Linked DNA regions of Neodiprion lecontei. Each later gene encodes a partner of the first gene's protein in a complex. Links are inferred from orthologs where the notes say so. Each region holds a gene or a part of one and is shown in the gene's direction. Other genes may lie near its edges.

The links.
Region 2: COP9 signalosome complex subunit 7b (region 1) and COP9 signalosome complex subunit 5 share a complex: the UniProt entries of both Drosophila melanogaster proteins name them as parts of the CSN complex. The link is inferred for Neodiprion lecontei from reciprocal best matches to the Drosophila melanogaster genes CSN7 and CSN5.

The regions. Positions count from the first base shown.
Region 1 is NC_060261.1:43,244,834-43,250,483, forward strand, and holds COP9 signalosome complex subunit 7b, read left to right. Parts: upstream 1-1,867; 5' UTR 1,868-1,882; coding exon 1,883-2,022; exon of another isoform or gene 2,023-2,211; intron 2,212-2,337; coding exon 2,338-2,995; intron 2,996-3,132; coding exon 3,133-3,333; 3' UTR 3,334-4,905; downstream 4,906-5,650. Other genes in the region: arf-GAP with coiled-coil, ANK repeat and PH domain-containing protein 2, read right to left, coding at 543-600, 1,196-1,248. UniProt on the Drosophila melanogaster protein: Component of the COP9 signalosome complex (CSN), a complex involved in various cellular and developmental processes.
Region 2 is NC_060264.1:28,330,345-28,335,784, forward strand, and holds COP9 signalosome complex subunit 5, read left to right. Parts: upstream 1-2,211; 5' UTR 2,212-2,346; intron 2,347-2,658; 5' UTR 2,659-2,678; coding exon 2,679-2,830; intron 2,831-3,000; coding exon 3,001-3,235; intron 3,236-3,369; coding exon 3,370-3,564; intron 3,565-3,656; coding exon 3,657-4,103; 3' UTR 4,104-4,879; downstream 4,880-5,440. Other genes in the region: transmembrane protein 65, read right to left, coding at 682-1,105, 1,284-1,370. UniProt on the Drosophila melanogaster protein: Probable protease subunit of the COP9 signalosome complex (CSN), a complex involved in various cellular and developmental processes.

The DNA.
Region 1 (5,650 bases):
AATTTTCAGCAAAAGCTTATAACTTTATGAAAGTGTATTGTTGAATGATTCAAACGCTGTATATTTTCAATTGAACGTTAACAGAACTGGACAAGTAATGTAATGCAGAAACAACTTTTAAAGATAACAACAGGATATCCTGTATAAATATTCACAGGTCATAAAATGGGTTGAATAGTACCTCAGAGCTTTTTTACAATACATCAGTTAGGTTTGATTCAAAACAGAGAGAACGTGTTTTATTACAAGGTTGAAGTTAGTAACGTTATTGTAACGAAACATTGGGGAAGAAATCAGTATTTTCTTAATTTTACAATGATTTTTCAGGAACTAAAAATTCGAAATACGAGCGTGTTTTGTTTTATTACCGTTTACTGAATTTCAGACAATTCCAAAACCATGAAATAATGGTTTTTTGTCAGCATGAATCGTTATGATAACATTACCAACTTCAATACGATGTTTTATTCTCAAATGCTTAATAAAGGATAAAAGGAAGTTTTAATTCGACAAAATGGACAATCGAATCCGCACTTGCGTACCTTTTCTAATTTTTGTTCTAGCTGCTCTACATTGCTTTCTTCTTCCTCGATGCGTGATCTGGAACAAATAACATAGCAACAACCTGACAATTTTTTCAAACATTCGTTTGGAGGGAGGGGAGGATAAAATTGTATCGACAACAGATTAGCCGTTTTCTACATAGGTGTAAAAGGTAGTGGGTTTGTTTGTTTTATTCATTCTCATTAACAATGGATGAGCGATTCTTCCACATTGAGTGTCGAAATAAATTTCAGAAGCGATAACACAGCGTAAATACGTCGCAGAGACAAAGGATATTTTGTCTAAGGTAACGCGTAGACAGAAACGAGCGAATGTACAAATATAAATTTAGTTTTCGACAAAGAGAGGTTAAGCCGAACATTTTTACGTGCGTGAATACGTAATGCTTTACCTACGGCATACGTATAGATATACATACGTATGTGTGAGAAGGATATTAAATATGTGACGTGCATAAATCCGTGGGTGAATTTCTAAACTGTTTACTATGATGATTATAATACGTTTCTTTCTCTTTCGTTTTCGTTTTGCGAATGAATTACAGGCGACGCATATGGCATATCTGTACACGAAAGTAAAATCTGTCAAGGTTGGGTGTCCACGATTCGCTGTAAAAAGTGATTGTTCTCACCGAAATTTTGGCGTATCCCGTAGGCATTCCTCAAACTCAATTAATTTCGGCATTTTGAAACAGACGAAGAGACACCTCCTGTCACATTCGGATTTATATCCGTGATGTTGATACGTTAATAATATTTCACGAATATGCTGTCACTCTCGCACAACATTTTCATTCAGCTATTTATTTATTTTTCACACAAGCTCGTGGGTAATTACTCGTGAAGAATAGAAAATGAGTGAAAAATAAAATCATGCAGCGTGATACTTGTCAGAGGGAAACCACAGTGCGGACAATCGGTCCCCAATCCCCACTTTTTCGTCAAATAAATAATGGAGTAGACTTGTGAGTCGGCCGCACTCGCTCGGGTCGAGGTACGGAGCACACGTGAAATCTGAATAACGTGAATCAGTCGCCAGAACGACGCGCGGAGAAAACCCGAACAGAGTATGTCGGGAACGGCAGAGGTATTTACACTATTTACGGCCAGGATTAAGAAATTTCCTGTCTTACCGATCGTTGGTAAGAACTCAACAGAAAAATCGCGATCGGTAATAATAACGGACTTGTGGATATTGGAAAAGTAAATAGTCATCGGAGTTTGCGAATTTTTTCATATGAACAAACGCCTAGGATCTCTGTTATTTCCGTTTTTGTTCGTAATTTACGCACATAGAAGCACTTACCATTTCTGTCGGTATGTTAGCTAGCCATGCCGGAACTACAGAATACATACTGACACGAGTTGTTTTCGCCCAGTGTTTTCGCCTTTATTGCCAGTTAACGGCTGTGGGCTTAGTGGTTGTGTTTCAAATGACAAATGAAAATCCGTCAAAGGGGTAAAGCAATACGTGCGCATAAAATCGTTTTTGTAGGCGAGAAACGAGTTGATAAGCGGTGATATTCCTGGGAATTGGCTAGCATAGAATTGCATAAGTGATATTGATTATTTCGTACGTTAATTTGTGTTCGTCGTTAGGCTTGGCGTTCTTCGGGCAGCCGAATTCGAGGTTAGCGTAGTTAGTCTGGTGAGATTGTGACCTCACTGACTCCTTACTTGAATCGAAATGATTTTTCACGATGCCGCAATCGACTTTCGCATTTACCCAATACCATTAATTGTCAGAAATCAATCGAAGATTCCTTTTTTTCAGATTAGCGATGACGGGTGCGAGTGTAACTGAAAAAACATCCACCAACAACCCCTTGGAGCAGTTTGTCCTTCTGGCTAAAACTGCTAAAGGCGCGGCAGCGGTGGAGCTGATAAAGCAGGCCGTTGAAGCACCTGGAGTAAATGTTTTCGGGGAGCTGCTGGATATGCCGAACATAAAAGAATTGGAGAACGGACCGTACGCCGAGTATTGGAACACATTGAACCTCTTCGCCTATGGCACGTACAAGCAGTACTTGGCGAACAAAGATAAACTGTTCCACCTCACACCCGTTCAGAAAAAGAAGCTCCAGCATTTGACGATAGTCACGCTAGCCACGAAATCAAAGTGCATACCTTACTCCGTTCTGCTAGAAGAGCTTGACTTGAAGAATGTCAGAGACCTGGAGGATCTGATAATCGAGGCTGTTTACGCCGATATTATCCATGGTAAATTGGACCAGAAGAATTCACAGCTAGAAGTTGACTATGCTGGATTAGGTCGGGATGTCAGACCCGGTGATACCGGCGCCGTTGCAGAAATCTTGACTGCCTGGGGTGAGGCCTGCGACACGGTACTGAACTGCATTGAGCAGCAGGTGCTTAGGGCCAACAGTGAAAAACAAAAGGCAACTCAACACCAAGAAAAACTTAAGCAGGAGGTAAGTCAATTGGCACAATCCCTTAAGCCAAACCTGCTCGTGTATTTGGAATTCCAGCACTAGCACGTTTATTCACTCATTTCACAAGTCCCGCCTTTCTCAGCTTTTAAGTCTGATCAAAAATCTTCCTCTTGCAGATCCAAGCCGTAAAAAAATCAATCACAGCTCATACAGTACGTGGGGTTGTCCAGGAGGCAGATGTCGCTGGTGGCGGGATCGAATCTGGATCGGGAGGAAGCGAAACGAGCCGAGAAGCCGTGCCTGTTCCACCAGATACTAAAAAGAAACAACAAAAACCAAAAGGTATTCGAGGCAGTGGTAAGTTCTGGAAGACTTAAAGTAAGTAACAAACGGATAAGTGCAGATCTCTTGAGGCCTACTTCTTATCCACGGATCGGTGATACTCTTGATATTTCTACGAAGAAAAAAATGTCATACGTGTAAGTTTCTAATGACTGAAATTAACGAATATTCGTATGCACAGGATGAAGTGATTTCAGGGTGGCCGCTTCTCTGGGAGAATCGAGAACTTTTATCAGGAAACTGTTTTCAAGTCTTGGGATTATGTCATGTTCACATATCGAAAATAAAAAAATACAAATAAGTTGGCTGTGATTTGTAACTATTGTCGTGTACTTTGTTTTGCTGTGGTCAGCAAACATAATTTAATTTGTCGTTTCTTGTTTTCATTGAAATCGTGACTTAACACCTCTGTTTTTTTTTTTTTTTTGGAAAGTTGATGCGTTGTGATCTCCTTGACAGTCAATAACTGAGACTTTTAAAACGATGCCTACACTTTGCGCAACACTGCGGAAAAGAGACAAAGTAATTTTTGAGAAAAAAAAACAATCAAGCGGCCACCCTGAGTGTCGTAAAATAATTGAATAAGTTCTGAAGTAGAATGACCGAGGGATCTGTGTTATTACGTTGTTTAAAGTGTGATGAAAATAATGAAATCAGGGATCTTTAAGAGTATAATAGAACGTAATTGTATTTTACAATGCCAATTATTACGTTGGCTCGGATTTTGCACGTCGATATTTAAGAGACGTAAGTTGTATATATTATTAAATATGTAAAATGAACTGCTGGTTCAGGATTTTCATTATTAAACCGTAGTCACTACTTCACAAGTTACAGAAAAAGCACGACTAATATAATATATATAAATATGGAATCACTATGAGCCATGTTATTATGTTTATACTAAAAAAAGCCGTTGTTAAACGAAGAAATGAAAGAGAAAGTTGAAAATACGGAAAAAGTTTTAACTTTAGTAAGGTTGTTTGCAGTCGTGAATTGGAATGAAATTTTTAAACGATTGATTTTATCTTCAATTTTTGGTATCGCTAGTTACCTAGATTTATAAAGTACATTCATTACTCTCACTTGTTTTACCCCGCGACGTTTTATAAAATTATAGAATATAAAAGTACGAGATTATTCTTCAACATCTTGTGGTTCAGTGATGTTATTAACGTTTCGTCGAACCATTTTTGTTTTTTTGTTTTTTAACTATCTATTAATATATTCGAATGGTGCTAATTAACGGATACATAAATATTTAATTCAAGATATTCAACGAGATAATTTTAATCAACTACGCGATGTATGTAAAACCTGGTGAAAAGTAAAAGTAGAAGTGAATATAAGCAAAACTGAGGGGAAGATGTTGCCAAAATTTGACATAAAATATGCTAATCAGTTTTACTTATTTCGGTTTCTATCCCGCGATGTTTTTCGAGATCGAATCATCAGCCATACATTAAGTATTGCAGAAGGAGATAAACAAAGTATTTAGTAAATAGGAAAACTTGAAAATACGTAATCATAGTAAAATAATATAATATGTATTATAAAAGTCACAGTGTTATGTCAGACAGATATTAAAATCCACTGATTTGTTTCGATTTTAGTTTTATAGACAAGAGCCAGTTACAAGAGGATGCTAATTCGGAAGGATATGTATTACAAAAAAAAAAAAAAAAAAAAATGAAAGAAACAGAAACAGTTCGATATCGATCAAAGAATTTCTATCTCGAGATGTAATCCTTCGCGATACATTTATCATTTGTATCATTAATACCAAATGCTGCATAAACATAATTATTAAATTACAACATTAGTTACTATTTCCATATACTGATATATATCATTTTGTTACTTACCGAATGAATGGATAATATTATATGATTTTCCATTTTATAAAAAAAAGAAAAACCATAAAATATGTACCTTTTAGTATACAACAAAACATATGTTCATATAAAAATAACACAGTGCATGCTGAAATCTTTGCAAAATGAATGATGTAAATCCAGTTGTGTTGTTTTGTCTTGCAATTGGTTAAAATTCAATTGTTCTTGTTTTCGCGGCGAGGGATTCATCCCTACAATAATGGACAAAAATAACGATAATAAAGAAATAATTGTAGTAATTCTATACCGCAATAATTCAGGGTATACAATATTATACCTATGTATATGTATGTATGCTTATACAATTTCTTTATATATTTCTATCACTACGTAGGCACTTCTTTCACTTTGCTTTTCGCGAACGTACGTTACTCGCTTGTCTTTCTATTGTCGCCTAGATTGAAATAGAAAAACAAAAAAATAAAAAGAAATGTATACTTATGTGAATGTAGGAATA
Region 2 (5,440 bases), on another chromosome or scaffold:
TCAGACTGCAAACATTTGGCTCGACTTTGGATACACTCAAATAATTAGCGGCAACTCCAATCTTTTTAGACGCCAGTTTATTTTCATTACGATGTCACTTTCCGTGACGTATGTTGTGACTAAATTGAAGATAGACAAACTGTACAGTAAAATTACGAAAGTCCGGGCGGTATTGGCGTCAATGACGCGTCAGTGAGGTCATATCCACCTGGCTACCCATCCGGGAATTACACCTCGCTTCGGACCTGACATGACTTTTCTATATGCCTGAGTACACACGCACGCACGTGTTAAAGCCGCGCGTAACGTAGCAACGGTGATTTTTCGACACGTGAGAAAATTAGGAATATCCATAATACTGATCTACTATTACGTATCTTTGTTGTGAATTTTTTTTTACATCTGCGGAGTCATTAACAATACCAAATTACTCAGGGTATCAATTTATAGGATTTAGAACAACAATACAGACATATTATCGTAAATGAGTGAACACGGAACGGGTAAATCGCTTCGACATTAGAAAGAAAGAAAGAAAGAAAGAAAATGAAAGAAACGCATGTTTTATGTATAACGAGGTCGCCTCTCTTTCTCCCCGATTCGTCTTGGCAAGCTACGCACTACATTTATCACAGGGGGCAAATACATCCAGTGACATCGTCGAATCGGTATCATTCGTACCTTCATACTCTGCTTTTACTTTTTGAGACTGAGTTTCCTGCAGTGCCGATATGAGCACGTCCCTCTCCTCGGGTGTCAGGCGTACAGCGAGATCCCTCGCCTGTTGCTTAGATAAAATCGGCGGGGTCTCGGGGGTCTCGACGTTCCGTGGAGCACCAGCAGTAGCAGTACTTGTGGTAGCTGTAGTAGCCGAGGGGGAAACCCCCGTTGTCATAGATGCCCGCAATCGGAGGTCCGTTGACCCCCGTGACGTCGGTAACATGCGCTTATTCGGAGTCCTGCAGCACGACGACGAGCTGCTCGAGGATTTTTTAGACATTAAATATAATTCACTGCCACAGCACATGGTATGGGAATAATTGTCATATATCGACAGTTTTCTCAACGTTGATGCACCGATTCCGGGCCCAAACTTCGCCAAACACTGCAATGACGTCACAGGTCCACTCATTCTCGTTTCGAAACTTTTTACTCTACTCTTTTGATTTTACAACCAATAATATATTCATTCGCTTTTCAATACTATCTATGCGGCACCTATTTATATCTATGGCACTCTTTATCGACTGAACATTTACGTTGCACGCTCGAACACAACTCACCGACTCTGCGAATCTGGGCTCACTGACTGACTGACTGACTGACCGGAGTCTAGATCCCCTGCGGTGACCTACGCTCTCTACCGGCATCAGCCGCTCGCGTCGATGCGACGACTCCTCCCCCTCCCCCTCCCCCCACCCCTGCCCTACCCATTCTGATTCGTCGGTGATGTATACATATTCAAATTTCCTGGATGTATGTCCACGGAGTTGATCCAATTCCCTGTTCTGCGATCCCTTCATTTCTCGGATGAGTACGTGGGATTTTCGATTCTTCCTTATGTATTATTAGTATATAATAAATTTCTGTCTTCGGTTTTCCCTATTCTTCGTAGTTTAATGCCGTAAGGCGGGATCCAAGTAAACCAAAATGAATTGAATAGAATTGAGTACGTCCAAAAACGCAGTTAATTAGAATTAATGCAAATTGAAATGTTTTATGGGCTAATTCTTTTGAATTTGTTATAATTCATGTTAATTCCTATTTTACCGTGTGCAATTCGATTTAGTTTACTGGGATAACACAACTCCGGCTATGCTTCCATATTTGCCGTATTTGACGAAATGGCAATAAAAAAATTAACGTGTATGAAATATCCAATCTGCAATGATATCGTTCAAACGAATTTTAATTACAACTGCGATAACTGATACAACGAATTAAAACCTTTTTAATTAATTCTCAGTCACGAATGATTCACGCAAAAGCAAATCGCGCAATGATAAAATTTCATTCATGATTCCGTTAAAGAAATGAATTGTAAAAGGGAGTAATAAAATTTAGAGTACGCAATATAAGTACAACACTGATCAGTAATCTCTGCACAGAAAATACACAATGAGATGACTAATTTCATGATGAGTCTCATTTGTTTTTCAATTTGATTTACAGCGCCCTCAGAGCGAGCAATTCGTGACGGATTTTTTTTGAACTAAGCATCGACAACAGTGACCCCTACTGCAAAACTAGTGGATATGCGAATTCGAGAAGATATTTAAGTTAGGTTTGTTTACGACCGTCGAAGAGTTTCTTTTCGAAAAGATTATTTTCAAGAAGTATATACGGGTATGGATTTTAGTCAACTGTTCTGATCCATAGTTTTCTACAGTTTGGCTAACTACTCTGTCGATATTTGATACGAATTTTTATAATAAGTTTACTTTACATAAACTCAACTGCCGCACCGTATTTCTGTTCGATATTCACATTTCACGTTTTTGCGAATTATTTTCCGTTAAGTTCTCCACAAATAATAAAAGCGATCAATTTATAGTCATCCATCCATCCATCCATCCATCCATCCATCCATTTATCCAGCGGTATTAGGCAGATAGAAAAATCCGTTTATGTTCATCAAATGTCAATTTCTGTTTCCAGGATAAAGAAGATCGTTAATAATGGCAAGCACGTCGAGCGATCAGTCGTCCACGGCACAGAAAACATGGGAAATGACAAATAACGTTGAGACCATAAGCACAGCAGATGAAATCTATCGATACGATCGTCAGGAGCAGCTTGATATACTCGCTGCGAAACCATGGGAAAAAGAGTATGAACTATGCCTGCTCAGTTATTTCAATATCCGAGAGAAAATCCACTCATCAATCTATACTGAACACGTCTGCAATTTTTTTTTCGTGTTTTTACCATATCCGTCTCTAATTTAGTAATAACTATCAAGTAACTGATCTATTATTGACTAAAATTTGATCTTTTCAGTCCTCACTTCTTCAAAGACATCAAAATATCGGCGCTAGCTTTGCTGAAGATGGTTATGCATGCCCGATCCGGCGGAACTCTTGAGGTCATGGGATTACTCTTGGGAAAAGTAACGGCGAATACTATGCTCGTCATGGATTCGTTCGCTCTTCCCGTTGAGGGTACTGAAACTCGAGTCAATGCCCAGGCCCAAGCATACGAATATATGACCGCTTACATCGAGGCTGCTAAACAGGTAATGGTGAATCAATATTTTTGGGTTGTAAAATGTGCCAAGACTTTCACCTCCATTGGCTGAATCAATACTGATACATTCTACAACTGTATTACAGAGTAGACAAAAAAATGGGACTGACGACATTTTTTCAGGTTGCCCGTCACGAAAATGCCATCGGTTGGTATCACAGTCACCCGGGTTACGGATGCTGGTTATCAGGAATTGACGTCTCCACTCAGATGTTGAATCAAAATTTTCAAGAACCATTCGTAGCGATTGTAATTGACCCTGTTAGAACTATTTCAGCTGGAAAAGTATGCCTTGGAGCTTTCAGAACATATCCCAAGGTTAATATAATAAATGATTTGAACACAATTACTAGGAAATTATACCTGAATTTTTTTGATTTAATTATTTTCGTGCCGTTTAATTCCCACAGGGTTATAAACCACCCAACGACGAGCCATCAGAGTACCAAACAATACCGTTGAATAAAATCGAAGACTTTGGAGTACACTGCAAGCAGTACTATTCCTTGGAAGTAACGTATTTCAAATCCTCCCTTGATCGTCGACTGCTTGATTCTCTCTGGAATAAGTACTGGGTTAACACGTTGAGCTCGTCCAGTTTGTTGACGAATGCCGACTACACGACTGGACAGATATTTGATCTTTCCGACAAACTGGAACAGTCTGAAGCAGCACTTGGTCGAGGAAACATGCTCGCCGGATCTAATGATCCTTACGACCGTCGGAGCGAGGACAAACTCGTCAAAACGACAAGAGATAGCTGTAAAACTACAATTGAAGTTATACATGGTCTTATGGCTCAAGTTATCAAAGATAGACTTTTCAATCAATTTGGAACCGGCAAAAAAGACTCTTAAGCTTATTTTCTCTTACAGTGCAGTTTTTCTATTGTATACCTATTATTAAAAAGATAAATAAATAATAATATTGTGATTTGCAACAAATTTACTATGTTCAATACGAAAATCATTCCAATCATAATGAGAATATTACAAATCAGAGGTGATAATGTAACTGGTTACCAAATCGTAACTACTTCTGTCCCTATACATTATTTTATTTAAAAATGCAAAGTTTACTAGATGTCAAAATTTTTATAAGAATCTGTTATGACTTTGTAGTATCCTACTCCACATATATTCCAATGAATTATGACTTGTACAGTTGAAGCTGCTGAGTTGCAGTAGTATATTCATGAATTCACACACAGGCACAAACTTCCCAATAAATTCATTTTGTCTTTCAGCGCAGTGCTTTTAAACAGTAATTACAGTAACAAGTCAAAGTTTTATGTAATACAAAGTAACAGTATTCAATTATTGTGGAATAAAAATACGTTTTATTTTCACACCTTGACTCACTAAAAAGTATATACAGCATCTTTATCATTATCCATTATCATTGTAACCGATAAATATACACACATTTACACATAGGTATGTATATACATATATTTATAAATGCGTATATATTTATATAAAACTCAAATAATTATGAGAACAAGTAGGCAGGGTTCATCCCTATTGGAGGGCTGAAACTTCTTTGTCAACATAATCATGCATACACTCAGTTACACGTATCCTGCAGATTAACTGCAATCACCCGTTACGAACACAATTCACAAGGGACGGACCTAATATACGAAAAATCCTAACTACCGATAAAATCGGTGCAATAGTGCATGTCCACAATCCTTTGTAACCAAGCAGTAACTTAAAGTTACAAGATTAATATGTTTTTTTTTTGTAAATTTATCTTTACAATACTTTAAGTACAACCTTGCCATTAATATTTAATTGCCAATTTCCAGGCACATATATGATTTCTTTCAACTACAGCTCAACTGACATCATAATTACCTCTCTCTGCCTTTCGATAAACAACACTTAAGCAAATATTGAAGCAAAATCTTTTTTTTTTGAATTTGCAAAAGTGCCTAACGCAACGATGTAAGCATACAACAGCGATAAAATAAATATTATACGTATTCATACATTATATTAAACGCGTGAATTAGCGATTCATTGGTGCAGCTAAATGAATATATAATAACAAATATTAAAAATTATAGTCCAAATACAGTAATAGTGGAGACGAGGTACGATAGAATTTAAATGTAGCAGAATCCAGAGAGAGGAAAAACTTGGGATTGTCAGGGGGATTCGGTACAATACAATGCTGTAATTTATAAAGG